Linked DNA regions of Macaca mulatta. The protein of the gene in region 2 purifies or fractionates together with the protein of the main gene of each other region. This does not show direct contact. Links are inferred from orthologs where the notes say so. Each region holds a gene or a part of one and is shown on either strand. Other genes may lie near its edges.

What was found.
Region 1: the proteins of BSG (region 2) and GNPAT purify together in Homo sapiens (affinity purification with mass spectrometry; 3 studies listed by BioGRID and IntAct, counting the BioPlex papers as one, with this or other methods). This does not show direct contact. The link is inferred for Macaca mulatta from reciprocal best matches to the Homo sapiens genes BSG and GNPAT.

The regions. Positions count from the first base shown.
Region 1 is NC_133406.1:17,786,862-17,791,286, forward strand, and holds the start of GNPAT (dihydroxyacetone phosphate acyltransferase), read right to left. Parts: upstream 2,842-4,425; 5' UTR 2,737-2,841; coding exon 2,659-2,736; intron 1-2,658. Other genes in the region: C1H1orf131 (40S small subunit processome assembly factor 1), read left to right, coding at 2,974-3,091. UniProt on the Homo sapiens protein: Dihydroxyacetonephosphate acyltransferase catalyzing the first step in the biosynthesis of plasmalogens, a subset of phospholipids that differ from other glycerolipids by having an alkyl chain attached through a vinyl ether linkage at the sn-1 position of the glycerol backbone, and which unique physical properties have an impact on various aspects of cell signaling and membrane biology.
Region 2 is NC_133424.1:1,211,921-1,216,395, reverse strand, and holds the start of BSG (basigin), read right to left. Parts: upstream 2,844-4,475; 5' UTR 2,805-2,843; coding exon 2,738-2,804; intron 1-2,737.

The DNA.
Region 1 (4,425 bases), on a different chromosome or scaffold from region 2:
GTGAAACCCCTTCTTTACTAAAAATACAAAAATTAGCCGGGTGTGGTGGCAGGCAGCTGTAATCCCAGCTACTTGGGATGCTGAGGCAGGATAATCTCTTGAACCCTGGAGGTGAAGGCTGCAGTGAGCCAAGATCGTGCCATTACACTCCAGCCTGGGTGACAGAGTGAGACACCATCTCAAAAAAAAAAAAAAAACCCACATATTTATTTTTACGTATACATATATGTGTATACACACACACGCACACACACACACACATACATAAGATTAAGATCACCCATAAAGTTATGATTTTATCCCTAAGGATATGTAAACACGACACATAAAATTTCTTTAGGAAATATCATCTGCCTACTTCCTTACTTTGTTTCTCACGTCTCCTTTCTTCCACCCAAACCTAACTAACTAATTCTAACCCCAAATATGCAAGGGAATAGTTTTCTTACATCAATGTCTAGGACAGTTTTCCTCTCCCTCATCTGCCATTCACAGCTCAAAAACTCAGCTCAGGCCAGGCACAGTGGCTCATGCCTGTAATTCCAGCACTTTGGGAAGTAAGTAGATCACTTGGAGGTCAGGAGTTCGAGCCCAGCCTGGCCGACACAGTGGGTCCTTGTCTTTACTAAAAATACAAACATTAGCAGGGCGTGGTGGCATGTGCCTAAAATCCCAGCTACTCGGGAGGCTAAGGCAGGAGAATTGCTTGAGCCCTGGAGACGAAGGTTGCAGTGAACCAGGATCAAGCCACTGTTCTCCAGCCTGGCAACAGAGCAAGAGGGTCTCACAAAAAAAAAAAAAAAAAAAAAAGGAAGATCAGCTCAGATGTCACCTTTTCTTAGAAACCTTCTCCAAGTACCCAAACTGGTCAGGTGCCCCTTCTTGTCACTCCCACAACACGCTATGCATGCTGCAATCATTGCCCTTATCCTACTTAACTGTAATTACTTGTTTACTTTTATGACTTCTTGTGCCCTTAAAGGCAGAGCCTGGATCTGTAACTTCTATATCTCAGAAACTGAGAATAATGAGTAGGATACTGTATATATTCCTAATGTTTGCTGCAATCAGCAGTATCTTGTATGTTTCTAAAATGCTACTTTTAGATCAGAGTATTACACAGTAACAGTGTAGCTGGGGAAATAAAAACAGCCTGAAGTACTAAGAGAAAGTAAGGTTACCATGGAAGTAAAGGTTATCCAGTCACAAAACAGTAGCAAGAACTAGAGGGTTGCTGTCCAGCATCAGAACTACAGAATGCTCAGATCCAACTGCCATAGTTTTTCACATGAAAAAGTGGACTCAAGTCTTATTAAAGAATCGTTGGTGAAGGGGGAAGTAAAAAAAAAAAAAAAAAAAAACCAACTCCTTCCTTTAACGTACAAAATGAAAATTCCAGCCAATTCACAAACCAGTTGAGAGCTTAAAAAGCTACATGTTAAAAGCTGGATCTGCATAGCAACCCTCTTCTCTTCATGCCTGCTCTGGAGTAGCAGTCAGAAAACAAAGTTGATATCCACCACAGAACTGTGGAGAAGATCAATGTAGAGAGAGATTTAAATAATAAGCCTTATAGGCAGTTAGCTATCAGAAACCGAAAGGTCTTGATAGAGAGGGAACAGAAGTTTCTCCATGTTCCAAAGAATATTGGTGTCTCAATTTGAAGGAAGCCATATTCTCTTTCGAAACTGGGATGTTTATCTTGCTCTGTCGTGTTAACCCTGTTTTGACCTTTCTGCACAAATGAACACTACATTTAAGCCCAAACCGGACACTAATCACCAGGACATGCTAATATGCTTTTAAAATGAATTATTTTATTTCCTCCTAAAGTAGCTAAAGACCAATTTAGTGGTTAAAAACAACAAAAAACAAACAAAAACCAAATCAGTTGCCCCAGGACTGTGCAATCCTGAAGGCTATAAAAAAGGCTATAAAACTTCCATCTCATAATTTCTTCATGAAAATCGTGGGTGACCAACATCTGCCAGCAAAAAAGACCGGTTAAAACCAAGAGAGGAAGAGGGGGTTGGGGGGAAAAAAGGCAAGCGGGAGAGAAGCTGGGTGGCGCTGGCGGTCCTCCAAAATGATTTGTGAAAAAGGTACAATAATGACTGGAAGACAAAAACAGGCAATAAAAATGTCTAGAAGTTCTAAATTTTCCTACATTAAAGTGTTTAAAACTCTATCCCCACATACAAGCCAAGTGCTTTACTCCCAGGAATATAACAGCAGCAAAGAACGGGGTGCGGAGCCACAGGCTATCTCAGGGCGGGTCAGACCCGCAGGTTTCTCAGGTTTACCCAAAAGGTAGCTGGACACGCCCTCGCTAGAGATGGGGAGACTCCAATTCTCATCCCTCATTCCCGTGTCCAGGAGCTTTCTGAAGGCCCAGGGCCTGATAGAAAGAAAGAGAAGGAACAAGTGGAAAGGAACCAAAGGAACCATAATCGGTAGAAACTTCCAAAAGCATGCACACACAGACACACAACGATACACTGTTGTCCTGGAAACCAACCCAACCAACTAACCCCTCCTCGGGAGCCTAGGGGGCCAGCTCTTTTGGGCAAGGGTCTTGGGCCGGAGGAATAGGGAGTGGGAGAAAGGGGTACTATCTCGCGCAGCTCCGCTCTGGGCCTCTTTTCCCTGGGCGCCTACCGAGTAGAGGAGCACGACAGCGCTGGGACTGGTTGGACCAACGGAGAAATAAGAGTTAGATGAACTGGGAGACTCCATGGTGCGGCTGCCGTCCCGGGCGGGGTCTAGGATTCTTTGCTAAGCAGTGGTGGTGCTGCTGCTGGGGGCGGTTCTTTCGCGCAGGACGGCCCTACTTCGCCTAGGGCGGCGGCACCCTCTGCAGCCGCACCACAGGACCCCGGGCGCCGCCATCTCAGCCAGGACGGAAGCCGCGCAGGGCCCTATGGCGCATGCGCGCAGTCGCGGAACCCGGAAGCGGGGACGCCGCGCGGCAGAATGAGGTTTGATTCCTCGGTTGATCCCACAATGTCGCAGGAGCAAGGCCCGGGGTCCTCCACACTTCCCAGTTCTCCGACACTTCTTGACGCTCTGCTCCAGAACCTTTACGACTTCGGTGAGTGCGGGGTCCCAGGAGCCCACGTGGAGAGCAGATCTGAGGAACGTGGTTCTCCTGTGCGGCCTGTGCTGGATTGGCCTCTGCTTTGAGGCTAAAGGTTCTTGCATGTCAAGCACCCGTAACTTCGTCCCACCTGGTTCCAGTAGCGGATGCAGAACACATTTCTCCATCGGAAGTCACCCCTTGACCGGGCTCTGTCGAGTTATTCATCAGACCTTCCAACTCGTCCCCAAGTGTGGGGACCGTCGTACTTTCTTGTAGGAAGCACCAAGGCTTTCCGATTTAACGCGGGCAGTGCGCACAGGACCTTGGACTCTCGAAGTAGCCCACTTTTCCACGTTTTCTTGAGCTCTGGGAAGTCCCCTTTCCCCATGCCACCCCCAAGACCTGCCTGACCTTGGTGCGATAGTGTCATTTCGCCCTGGGGCCTCGGGCCTGTTGGATAATTCACCAGCTTCATCCTTGTGTGTCCCTCGCCAGAGACATAGCCCTTGGCGAGTTGTCCTTTTCCAACTTTTTTTTTTTTTTTTTTTTTTTTTTTGAGTCTCGCTCTGTCGCCCAGGCTGGAGTGCAGTGGCGCGATCTCGGCTCACTGCAAGCTCCGCCTCCCGAGTTTACGCCATTCTCCTGCCTCAGCCTCCGAGTAACTGAGACTACAGGCGCGCACCACCACGCCCGGCTAATTTTTTGTATTTTCAGTAGAGATAGGGTTTCCGCCGTGTTAGCCAGGATGGTCTCGATCTCCTGACCTTGTGATCCGCCCATCTCCACCGACCAAAGTGCTCACAGTCGTGAGCCACCGCGCCCGGCCTTTTTTTTTTTTTTAAACAAGTGCGCCAACCTTTTACTCTCCATTCTTGATCTTGATGGGGGAAAAGGAAAATAAAAGAGCCCATTAAAGTCGCATGGCGTGTCAGTAGGAACACAGTGCCTCATACTCTGAAGAGCTTGCCCGGAAGAAGGTGACACCCTTTGCACATGCACTAAGGAAAATCATTAGATTTCAGGACAACACACATTTCTTAAATTTACAGCGTGATATTTTAAAAGCTATTTTTATTTTGGTACGACTGCTCAAAATTTTAAGCTCACCTAAACAGTAGGAATGATAATTAAAAGTATTGAGAACTTGCCATATACCACATGCTTTTCATGTATTTGCTAATTTAATTTTTAACTTCATGAAATAGACACTGTCATAAATCCCATGATTGCAAATGTGAAAACAAGTACTAGAGGTTCATGAAACCTGATACAGGTTGTCTAACTGGTAATTTTTGCAGAGCCTGGATTCTGATTCTAGCCCCAGACCCCACGCTTGTTGTATTCAC
Region 2 (4,475 bases):
ACACACACAGACCCACTTCTCATCACACACACACACACACGACCCACTTCTCACCACACACACACACACACAGACCCACTTCTCACCACACACACACACAGACCCACTTCTCACCACACACACACACACAGACACACACAGACCCACTTCTCACCACACACACACACACACAGACCCACTTCTCACCACACACACACACACACACACACAGACCCACTTCTCACCACACACACGCACGCACACACACACACGGCTGCACAGCAGCGCTGCCACACTGCGGACTCCACATGCAGCTCTGGCCAGTAAGCCCCGGGCTAAGCTTTCTGCTGAGGAGAAACGCTTCTCAGTCCCCTGCACAAGAGGAACAAAACCGTGACCCGCGCTACCCGGCAGGGATGGACCAAAGGTCTTTCACCCACTGGGCTGTCCAAATTAGCTCAATGTGGGAGCCTCGTGCTGGGCTTGAAACCCAGTCAAGCCTGGCTGGCTCCCACCACTGAGGCTGTTTCCACAGGGCTGAGGCGGTGGCTTATCTCACACATTCACCTCGCCCGGGGGCTCTTATTTGTGTCTCCCCCACAGAGCTGGTCCAGTGCTGGAGCCAGGTCCTTGCCCAGGAGACATTCGATAAAGGGCCACTTCGGTTACCAGGAAGAGAAATCTCAGACGTGGGTCAGGAGTTAGCTGGCAAAGCCTCTGGAAGAAGGAGCTCCCTCCTCAGCCTCTGCCCAAGGCCCCCTATGGCTCAATGCCCAGGAGAGAGGCTCCAAGCCCTTGCTCTTGACCCTTCAGGAGCCCAGACCCTCCAGCTCTACACCTTGTTCCCAACGCATCAGTCACTATAATTTTTTTTTGTCTGAGACGGAGTCTCGCTCTGTCGCCCAGGCTGGAGGGCAGCGGCGCCATCTCGGCTCGCTGCAAGCTCTGCCTCCCAGGTTCACACCATTCTCCTGCCTCAGCCTCCCTAGAAGCTGGGACTACAGGCACCTGCCACCACACCCAGTTAAGTTTTTGAATTTTTAGTAGAGGCGGGGTTTCACCGTATTAGCCAGGATGGTCTTGATCTCCTGACCTCGTGATCCGCCTGACTCAGCCTCCCAAAGTGCTGGGATTACAGGCGTGAGACACCGCGCCCAGCCTTTTTTTTTTTTTTTTTTTTTTTTTAAAAAAAGACAAGAGTCTCCCTCTGTTACCCAGGCTGGAGTGCAGTGGCCCAATATCGGCTCACTGCAACCTTCACCTCCTGGGTTCAAGCGATTCTCTTGCCTCAGCTTCCCGAGTGGCTGGGATTACAGGCGTGCGCCACCACGCCCAGCTAATTTTTGTGTTTTTAGTAGAGATGGGGTTTCACTATGTTGGCCAGGCTGGTCTTGAACTCCTGACCTCAGGTGATCCACCCACCTCAGCCTCCCAAAGTGCTGGGATTAAGCCTCACTATAAATATTTAATCCAGAACCAAATGGGGGTCTCAATAAAGGAAGAAATTTTCTATCCAGCAAGAAAGGCTGTCATGCTTTTCTCCCGGAAAAACACACCTCAATCCATTTCCCAAATGCACTCTCCAAACCGCGTCTGCCCACCCCCACACGGCCCCTCCTAAGACAGCACTGGAAACCTAATGCCCGGTCAGAGTCTGCTAAAAACGACTTTCTCACTATTTCCTGCGCTGAATGGGGTGGCCAAGGCCCCTCATTGTGACCTTGGAACCTCGACTCCCCACAGGGCTCAGCTTCCTTGCCTGTAAAGGAGAAGGGGCGTTCAGAGACCACCACATTCTGTGCCCTGAAGCAAGGCAGAATCAGAGAGAAGGCTGGCGCCACTCCAGGGACATTCTGCCTTCTCTTCCAGGCAGGGCGCCTCGAGGGAGCCTGCGAGGGCTTAAGAGTCTGGGAGAACACCCGGGGGCAGGTGCACGCCCGAGGCAAGACGCCAGGGCTAAATCCCCCGAAGAACGGTAATCCCTTCCCGATCCGGAAGGCTGACCCACTCGGAGCCTCCGTGTGCGCCTGGAGGACAAAAGCCCCTTTTCCAGGAGAGAGCGCCAAGACGATCGCCCCGGCAGCGCGGGGCCTGGCGGGGACCCCAGACACTCCGGGCAGGGTCTGTGACCCTAACACGCGCAGGCAGGGTGGGCCCGTCTCCAGGCTCCACCCTCAGGCCGTTCTCCCCCGACCTGCGGAGTCCAGTCCCAGCAGGACAGGTCGGGCAGGCACCAGCCCAGCCCCTGCCCCGACTCCAGGCCAAAGGGGACGCTCACCCAGGCTCTGGGTCTCCCTTCTCCTGGCCGGAGGGACGGGCGGGCGGGCCACCTCCAGCCGCCTTCGCAGACGCCCTCGCCCAGAGATCAGGCGAGAGCCTCCACCTCTGCCGGGGAACCCCCAACCCCAGGCCACCGAAAAGCAGGACGCCCACCTCCCCCGACCGAGACCGGCCTGGCCAGGACCCCCAGGCTCCCGCCCCCAAGCAGGGGCTTCACGCCCACACAGAGGGTGCGACGCCCGGGGGAGCCTGGCAGGCAGCGCCGGGAGGGACCCCCAGCCCCCCTCAAACCCTGGGAATTCACCCCCAAGCTCCAGGCTGGCGCGGGAAACCCCCGGGGCCGGCCTTTCGCACCCCAGGCGGCCCCTCGCCGAGGCCCCACGCTCCCGTTGGCTTCCGGTCCGGACCGCAGCCTGGGCCGCGGCCTCCATTCCCGGCCCCTGCAGGACCGCACCCCCGCCCCCGGCCCGCTCCTCACCAGCCCCGTAGGCTCCGTGGGCGCCCAGCAGCGCCAAACCCAGCAGCACGAACAGCGTAGCCGCCATGATGTCTCCTCCTCGCCGGCCCCGCAGCCGCCAACCGCCGCCGGAGCCGCCCGCGGCCGCTATAAAAACCGGCGGGGGCGCGGACCGGGCGCGCGCACGCACGGCGTCATCGCGGGGGCGGGGCGCGCGCGGGGCACGCCGGTCGCCCCCGCCTGCGCATGCGCACACACGCACGCACGCACGCGCCGGCTCCGGCAGGCTCCCGCTACGGAAGCCGGGCGGCGGCGCACGTGACAGGGCGTTGCTAGGAAACGGGAGCGCGGCCCGCGGGGACGCGGCTGGAGCCTGCGCATTTCTTCCTCCGGCTTTCAAAGCTGGAATGAGCGCGGAGCGGTGCGGCCGACGGGGTTGAAACATTCCGAGGGTATTACCCAGATTTGATCAGAGTGAAACACGGGCCGGCCGCTGTGGCTCACGTCTGTAATCCCAGAGCCTTGGGCGGCCCAGGCGGGAGGATCGCTTAAGCCTGGGAGCTCGAGACCAGCCGCGGCAACATGGCGAGACCCACCTCTCTGCCTTTAAAAATGTACATATCTATGTGAACAGATTAATAAATTAGGCGGGAGGAAGCGACCTCCTCCGCCCCAAGTAAAAATACTTCAAAGGCACTGGAATCTGGATCTCAGAAAATGAATGATGTCTCAGTATAAACGTCCTGTTCGCCATTTGGTTGGGAAAACTGAGTTAAGAAACTCAACTTCCAGGTCAAAAGTTGTAAATCAGCCCTACCCTCTTCTTCCCCGGCCCCCTTGTTCTCTCGCAGGGGGCGCGTTTACCCTGTTTTTAAAAAGTTCTGAGTCTCAGCCAACCGGGGTCCGCTTAGATGGCGGCAGAGGCCAGAAGCCCCGACAGGGGCAGGACAGAGGCCAGAAGCCCTGCCTTTGTCGCGTGTGCTCCGGCGGCTGCACCCCGCACAAGTAAAGGGGTCTCCGAGACGTTTCCGAAGTGCAGTTTCTCTCTGCGGGGCCGGCTCGCCGCCCCCAAACTTCCCATTTGGATCCCATTCTCTTTCGGGACAGGCAGGCGGTCACCTTTTTGGGGAGACGCGTCCCACTGCTTCACTGGGGGCCCTCAGGAGCGGAGGATCGGGTCCCGCCCGAGGTGATGAGTGAACCCGGACTCTCAGCAACGCGGGTGGGAAGGACCCGGGAAGTTCCGGGGCGGCCAAGGTGAGACAAGGCAACATTGTGGCGACCGAGGTGGGGGTGAGACAAGGCAACATTGGGGCGACCGAGGTGGGGGTGAGACAAGGCAACATTGGGGCGACCGAGGTGGGGGTGACACAAGGCAACATTGGGGGACCGAGGTGGGGGTGAGACAAGGCAACATTGGGGGACCGAGGTGGGGGTGAGACAAGGCAACATTGGGGCGACCGAGGTGGGGGTGAGAAAACTCAATATTGGGGCGATAGAGGTAGGGGGTGAGAAAACTCAATATCGGGGCGACAGATGAGGGGTGAGACAAGTGGCTATTGGGGCAACAGAGGTGGGGGGTGAGAAAAGTCAATATTGGGGCGACCGAGGTGGGGGGTGAGACAAGTCGCTATTAGGGCGACAGAGATGGGGGTGAGAAAAGTCAATATTGGGGCGACCGAGGTGGGGGGTGAGACAAGTCCCTTCCCACCCACCCCTCCATCCCTCCCCCACCCACCCCCCTCCCCCATACCAAACA